Linked DNA regions of Struthio camelus. The protein of the gene in region 1 interacts with the protein of each later gene in a biochemical or structural test. Links are inferred from orthologs where the notes say so. Each region holds a gene or a part of one and is shown in the gene's direction. Other genes may lie near its edges.

What was found. The genes of interacting proteins can lie anywhere in the genome.
Region 2: the proteins of UBR5 (region 1) and OTUD5 form a complex in vitro, tested with the Homo sapiens proteins (2 studies listed by BioGRID, with this or other methods). The link is inferred for Struthio camelus from reciprocal best matches to the Homo sapiens genes UBR5 and OTUD5.

What each region holds. Positions count from the first base shown.
Region 1 is NC_090943.1:145,523,714-145,527,453, forward strand, and holds the start of UBR5 (E3 ubiquitin-protein ligase UBR5), read left to right. Parts: upstream 1-1,441; 5' UTR 1,442-1,551; coding exon 1,552-1,613; intron 1,614-3,740. UniProt on the Homo sapiens protein: E3 ubiquitin-protein ligase involved in different protein quality control pathways in the cytoplasm and nucleus. Mainly acts as a ubiquitin chain elongator that extends pre-ubiquitinated substrates.
Region 2 is NC_090979.1:307,433-311,172, reverse strand, and holds the start of OTUD5 (OTU domain-containing protein 5), read left to right. Parts: upstream 1-850; 5' UTR 851-865; coding exon 866-1,366; intron 1,367-2,380; coding exon 2,381-2,474; intron 2,475-2,778; coding exon 2,779-2,843; intron 2,844-3,218; coding exon 3,219-3,375; intron 3,376-3,496; coding exon 3,497-3,645; intron 3,646-3,740. UniProt on the Homo sapiens protein: Deubiquitinating enzyme that functions as a negative regulator of the innate immune system. Has peptidase activity towards 'Lys-48'- and 'Lys-63'-linked polyubiquitin chains. Can also cleave 'Lys-11'-linked ubiquitin chains (in vitro).

The sequences.
Region 1 (3,740 bases):
CAAATGTCAAAGTGACATGCACTCCTCAGATTTGAGAGGGGAAGAGCAAGCTGAGATTTCTAGGGATTATGACTGCATAGGCCCAAAAAAACCCTATATCTCAGTGAACCAAGTTTCAAATTTTTTTGTAGAGTGGCAAGCATTCTGCACATGCTAAAAAATTCCAAGTCAGTTTTCTAAAATTCTGATTTCCTGCAAATAAACAGAATGAGCTGCAAAGACAGTAAAATCCAGTCAAAGCCAACGTTTAGTACAATCCCAGCCAAGGTGTTGGTTTCTGTAGAAACCAACGAATGTTTTGACTTTGTTACTCGACTTTCTGTAAATTTAGATATTAATTTCTTAAAAACCATCCCTTTTGCAAAGTATGTTCCCTTCCAAAAGCATGATAAAATCCCTTCCAGGAGCACAGTGCGCAGCCACTAAGGCACAAAGTGCTCCATGGTGTTTCAGGGATAACTTTCTACGCTGATATAGCACAAATCTGCCTGGAAAAGGGTGGAAAATTTTGGCTATTAGAGAGAAGACTGACTGTGCGACCGGCTAGTCATAGCCAGGAACTGAAAACCAGCCTCCTAACTTTGGGAAAGCAGATAACGAAGGGCAGCTAGTTCGAAAATCCCCTCTGAGGTCACCCGCGCCACAAGGAGGGCCTGAGGAGGCGAAAACCCACTGACACGCCTCGTTCGCCAGGCCCGCAGCAAAGCGTGGCGAGGCGCGGCTCCGCCCACCCGCTCTGCCTCTCTTCTCCGTTAAGCCGACGGGCAAACGGCAGCTCCGGCCAGCCCGGCCCTGGCGAGCGGAGTGGCGGCGCGGCGCGGCCGGCTCCGCCCGCCCACCCGCGGTGGCAGGCGCCCAGCCGGGGCCGCTCGCCGCCTCCCGCAGCGGAGGGGAGCGGGGCGGAGCCGCCCGCCCCCGGCGCGGCCCGCTCGGCCGCAGGGGCCGCCACAGGCCCGGCCCGGCCCGCGCCTCAGGGAGCCGCGCGCGCGCCGCCGCTGCCGCCGCCCCGCCCCCGCCGCACGCGCGCGCACGCCACCGCCAGCGGCGGCGGCCAAGGGGAGCGCCGGGGAGTTGCTCTCGGGAGCACGTGGTCTTTCACGTCCCTCGCGCATGACGTCACCGCGCTTTGCGAGACCTCCCGTCCATCCCGCCAATCCGCCGCCCGCTTAGTGGAGGGGCGCTGCCCGGCGGCGAGCGCACCACTCAGCGCGCGGCTTGCATAGCGGCCGGCCGGCCGCCGCCCCGCCTTTCCCCGGCGCGGCGCAAGGAGGGAGGGAGAAGGGCCCGCTGGAAGTTAAGATGGCGGCGCGTGTGTGAGTGCGGTGCGGGCTGAGCCTCTTCCCGGCACTCCGCTGCGGGCTCCCTCGTCCCCCGCGCCCCGCGTCGCGGCGGGCGAGCCAAGGACTCCGCCGGCGGCCCCGAGCGCCCCCGGGGGAGGGAAAGACGCCGAGCGCCCCCCTCCCCCCGCCGCCCCCCCCGCCCCCATTGTGTGCCCGGCGCCTGCCCGCCTGCCTCCCTCCGCCGGGGGGGGCAGCGGCGGCGGCGCGGAACATGACCTCGATCCACTTCGTGGTGCACCCGCTCCCGGGCACCGAGGACCAGCTCAATGACCGGTGAGGGGCAGGCCGGTGCGGCGGGGGGCGGAGGGGAGGGGCCGGCCTGGCGCAGCTCGGCCCCCGTGGGTGAGGGGAGGGGCCGGCGGCGGCGGCCGGAGCGCGGCGCGCCGAGGGCGCCCTGGGGCAGGGGCAGCGGCGGCGCCGGGCCGCGGGGGGGCGGCCCCGGTGTCGTCGTCGTCCTCTCCCCCCCCCCCCCCCGTCGCCCCCGCGCCGGGCGCTCCCGGCGCCTTCCCCGCGCGGGGCCGCGGCCGTCCTCTCGCTGCGGCCGCGCCGGCGCCGTCAACTTTGCCCCCCGCGGGAGAGGGGGTGGCGGGCCGCGACCTCCGCCGTGGGCCCGCGGCGGGGCCTCGGCTCCGCGTGCCCCGTGCCGATGTCCGCCCCAGGAAGGAGGTTATCGTGGCTCCCGGGCCGAGCGCGAGGAGGAGCGAGAATGTGTCCATTTTAATCAGAGATGAATCGAGGCAGACAATGCAGATGGGAGACCGCGGTGTGTGTGTGCGAGTGGGGAGGGGAGGATAATAGAGACGTGCATGAAGGATGTAACGCGTATGCACGCTTGGAGTCTGCTTTATGTTCCTCTTTATTTATTATTGCGGGTTATTTAAACAAGAAGGGTGGCCTGATCTTCAGATCGCTGGTTGTATGCGGCTTGGCTCAGCTTGGTATGACAGATAGAACAGAAGCACAGTGTTTTTTGGAAATCTCATAGCTAACTTTATTTTGGTTTATGGGAGAGAAATTGCAGGCTGGGAGAAAATAAAATACTTGGGAGAAAATTAAATCTATTACCTAAGTAGATTTCATTGCTGGATCTGTGTTTTACAGCCTTCTGTGTGGCTGTCAAATATTTCTTCTGTAGCAATTACTAATTGTATATGTTATAGTTAGTAAATTTCACTTGTGCCTGGTTATACGTAAATCCTTAAGAAATATGTAACTTTGCACTTTGAATTTCTTATGAATTTATGTATGAGCAAATCAAAATCTTTAATCAACACTGGATAGAAACCTAAGTATTTTTTACACTATAGCTAAATACTATTTAATATTTATCAGTGCATGTAAGTTTTTATAAATATACGTACGCTTGATTATATTTTTGTCTTCCTGGATTTTACTAAGTTTGAGACTAGATCACGGTCCATCTCACTCCACTGTTGGTAGTTTAGGCTAGGAAAAGTGATCTGTCTTTCCCGAGATGGCTCTTGTTAAAACACAGCTGAAGTTCAAGGGCTTATGAGGAGGAAAATAGGTCATTGTAAAGATAAATTTCTCCCAAACTGCATCATCCCTGTCCTTAAGCAGGGAGAAGATATTTCTAATGATAAAATAGGTCTGTGACCCAAAGCATGTTAATGTGGAGTGCATTTTTTTTTTTTTTCCCTTACCTGGATAGTACATTTTACAGGACTCGTTCTTCATGTGCCTCCTAGGAGGAGGCCTAACCTTTCCTAAGGGATTGATTGGCTTTCTCCACAGTCGTGCATTCAAAGTTGACCTACAGCTTCTTTCTTTAGAGTGACAAACTGTGAGAGGTAATGCTGTACTAGGAGTGCTTCTGCTTCTTCATCCTACTATTTTGATTTAGGGTAAGATCTAGGACTTTGATCTTGAAAGGACCTCAGTGATTTTTCTTTTTCATTTTTTTTAACGTTGATAGGCCCTTAGAAAACATTTAGCATGTAATTATCACACTTAGCTCAGAATGAAAGAGCTCATCTGATATTCTTTTAGTATGTCACCTGTTTTGTTGACTTATTGATGTTAAATACGATGTCGCTTCAGTCCTCATAATGCTTTTTTTTTTTAACCACAGCAGCAGCTCTTACAACTTTTATTTGATACAGGAAGCTTCATAAAATGTGGTAATTAATATATGGAGGAAGCTACAGAAGTGCTATTAAGTACTGACTTATTCTGAAAAATCAAGTGGCTCCTTGATCTGAGCTGCAAATCATAAATTTCCACTTCAGAAACATAATTTGACTAGAAATGTGGTAGCTATGTATCAGAACTTGTAATGCAGTGAAATCAGAATGATTCATAAATAGGACTGAGGCACATATGTATGTGCTGGAACTGGCAGTTCAATTTTATCAGTAGCATTGCTGCTAATTACTATTC
Region 2 (3,740 bases), on another chromosome or scaffold:
TTGGAGCCGAGATAGCGTGTTGTGTTTGGCAGGGGTGCCCTGACGCCTAGGTCACGGGAGTGGGGGGGTTCCCCAGACGCCTGGGTCCCTTTTAGGGGGAGGGGGCTCAGCTGGTAGGGAGGGGGAGGGAAGGGGTGGCCCCTGGGGAGTGATTGACAGCCGCGGGGCGGAGTTAGGGGTAGGGCCACTGCGGCATCGTCCCGCCTCCTGCAGCTGCCATCCAATGGGAAATTAGGTCGCGGCCGCAGCCAATAGGCGCGGCGGAGGCGGGGCCAGGAAGCGGAGCCGACGAGGGGGAGGCGGGCCCGCCCCCGCGGGGAGCAGCCAATCGCAAGGCGGCGGAGGGGGTGGGCACGCCTTGGCCCGGCCCCCCTTCTCGCCCCACCAATCCGCGCGCCGCACGGCCGCCAGCCAATGGCGGTGCCTTCCGCGCGCGCGCGCCGTCGCCACGGCGACGCCGGGCCCGTCCCTCCTCCTCCTGCGAGGCGGGGCCGGGGCCGGGCAGGCGGAGCGAGGAGGTGCCGAGGGGGCGGGACTTCCCCCCGAGCGCTGTAGCCAATGGCGACGCGGCGTGTGCGGCGGCGCCCAATGGGCGCGGCGCGCGGGGCGGAAGCGAGCGCGCGCGGCGGCGGGGTCAGAGGGCGGCTCTGTTGATGTTGACACCAGGCCGGGGCCCTCGCGGCGGCGGCGGAGGCGAGGGTAGGGGAGGGGTGGGGGTGCTGGCCGCAGTACGGGCGCCGCCGAGGATCAAAAAGCCCCTGAGGCGGCGCAGCGCGCGGCCGCCCCGCGGCCTGCACCGGGCGGCGGCGGCGGCCGGTAACGGGGCGGGCGGGGGGGCGCCGGGGGGGTCCATGCGGCCGCCGCCATGACGATCCTGCCCAAGAAGAAGCCGTGCCCGGCCCCCGACGCCGATCCGGACGCCGGCCCCGATTCGCACCCGGAGCCGGGGCCTAGCGGCGGCGGCGGCGGTCCCAACGCGGAGGGCGGCGGCGGCGGCGGCGGCCCCCGACCTCGGGCCTCGCCGCCGCCGCCGCTGCGGGGCTGGGCGGCCGCCGGCGCCTCGCCGCCGCCGCCGCCCGCTGCCGCCGCCGCCGGCTCCGGGAACGGCGGCGGCGACGGCGGCCCCGGAGGGCTGCTGGGGCTGGAGGGGGCCGAGGCGCGCGGCGTCATGGCGGCGGCCGTGGTGGCGGCGGGCGGCGGCCCCGGGCTCAGCAAGCGGCGGCGGCGCGGCGGCCCCGGGCCCGGGCCCGGGCCCAGCGGCGGCGGCGGCAGCCCCGGCCCGGATGAGGCCGGCGGTGGCGGCTACAACAGCGAGGATGAGTACGAGGCGGCGCGGGTGGAGCTGGACCCGGCCACGGCCGAGCAGGTGCCGCCACCGGGGGGGACGCGGGGGACACTGGGGGGCACCGGCTGGCCTGGTTTTGCCCCCTTGCATCGTGGGGGTGGCGCGGAGTTGGGGGGGTCGCGCGAGTCCCCGTGTGACATGTGGGGCCTGATGGTGCCACACGTGTGTGACACGGGCTGGTGGTGTCATGTGTGTCCCCATGTGACATGTGGGGCCTGATGGTGCCACGCAGGTGTCATGGGTTGGGGGGTTGCACATGTCCCTGTGGGACATGTGGGGCCTGATGCTGGCACATGTGTGTGGTATGGGCTGACAGTGTCATGTGTGTTTCTGTGTGACACATGGGGCTGGCACCACCACATGTCTGTGCTGCCGTGTGTGTCCCTGTGTGACACAGGAGCTGGGGGTGCCACATGCATCCCTGTATGGCCCGGGGAGGTGGCACTTCTACATGCATGTGACACAGGGTGCTGGCACTGTCCCGTCTGTCATAGGAGGGCCCCCGGGCCCCCCTGCCTGTCCCTGCGTCCCACAGGGGCTGGTCACTGTCACGCATGTGCCGTCCCATTGTGCAGGGAGGGTGGCGCTGTCACATGCATGTCACCATGTCCCACAGGGGACTGTGCAAGGGTGGGTACATTATGTCACGTGTGCCTGTCACCCGTGTCCTGGCCGTGTTGTGTGTGTGTGTGTCTGGTCGAGGGCTGCTGCCACGTGTGTCATTGCATGATGTGGAAGAAGCATGTCCCTGTTGCGCGTGTCTTCATGTCATGCAGGGCCTTGCCCTTATGTCACATGTGAGGCCTTGTTAGATGCGGCCTCATGTCACACAGGGTTGCGTCCTTGTGTTGCATGTGCACGTACAGGGTTGTGTTGTGCAGGGACGTGGCCTCATGTCACATGCGTCCTCGTGTTACTTGTGTCCCGTGGGGGCTGGTCTCTGTCCCGCGTGCCCTGGCATGGTGCAGGCTGCTGGTGGGGTGGGGGGTCCTGCCCGGATGCTGGGGCCCCGGCTGAGCCCAGCTCTGTCTCCAGCAGGAGCACCGGTTCGAGAAGGCACTGCGCGAGAAGAAAGGCTTCATCATTAAGCGCATGAAGGAGGATGGCGCCTGCCTCTTCCGGGCCGTGGGTGAGCCACCGCTGTCCCGTGTCACCCCACTGCCATCCCGTGTCACCCCACAGTCATCCCAATGCTGTTCCGTGTCACCCTGTGGCCGTCCTGTGTCACCCCGCGGCCGTCCTGCAGCCGTCCTGTGTCACCCCACATCTGTCCTGCATCTCTCCTGTGTCACCTCGCGTCACACCCTGTGCCCATCCCGCGCTGCCTCCCCTGCACGTTCGCCCGCCCCAGGCGCCCGGGGCAGGGACCCAGGCATCCGGGCGCAGGCACTGACCCCGCGCCCCGTTGCTGTCGCGCTGTCCCCCACCTGCAGCCGACCAGGTGTACGGAGACCAGGACATGCACGAGGTGGTGCGCAAGCACTGTATGGACTACCTGGTGAGTGGCCCTGTGTTGCTGTCCCCACCCCTGCCAGGCCCTGTCCCCCTGGCATTCCCACGTGTCCACTGGGGTCCCCCATGTCCTCTGCCAGGCTGGATCCCCCTGGGGTCCCCCTGTGTTCCCTGGTGTCCCTTGCCAGACTGTGTCCCCCTGGGGTCCCCTCAGTCCCCCCAGTTGTTCCGTGCCACCTTGGGGCTGTCCTCATGTCCCCAGGGTCCCCCTGTGCTCCCCAGTGTCCCCAGGGCTGCCCTGGGGTCCTCGGCATCCCTAGTTGTCCCCTGCCACCCTGGTGTCCCCTCTGTCCCCTCTGGGGGGGGTCCTGGCGGTGGCAGTCCCCGTGGTGGCGTGGCCCAGCGCTGGTGGCCCGCACAGATGAAGAACGCCGACTACTTTTCCAACTACGTGACGGAGGACTTCACCACCTACATCAACCGCAAGCGCAAGAGCACCTGCCACGGCAACCACATTGAGATGCAGGCCATGGCCGAGATGTACAACCGCCCCGTGGAGGTCTACCAGTACGGCACTGGTGAGTGATATGGCCATGGGGTGGTGGAGGAGCAGGATGTGGACACCAGGGTCCACGGGGTGGTGGTGAGGTCCCCGGTGTCCGTGGGGGTCCCTGGGGTGCTGACGTGGGGGTCCCACAGAGCCCATCAACACCTTCCACGGGATCCAGCACAACGAGGACGAACCGATCCGGGTGAGCTACCACCGTAACATCCACTACAACTCCGTGGTGAACCCCAACAAGGCCACCATCGGCGTGGGGCTGGGGCTGCCTTCCTTCAAGCCGGGGGTGAGTTGCAGGAGGGGGTCGCCGTGGGGTTAGGGGGGTCCCGGTGGCCACCGTGGGGCTGGGAGAGTCCTTGGGGCCACCATGGAGCTGGGGGA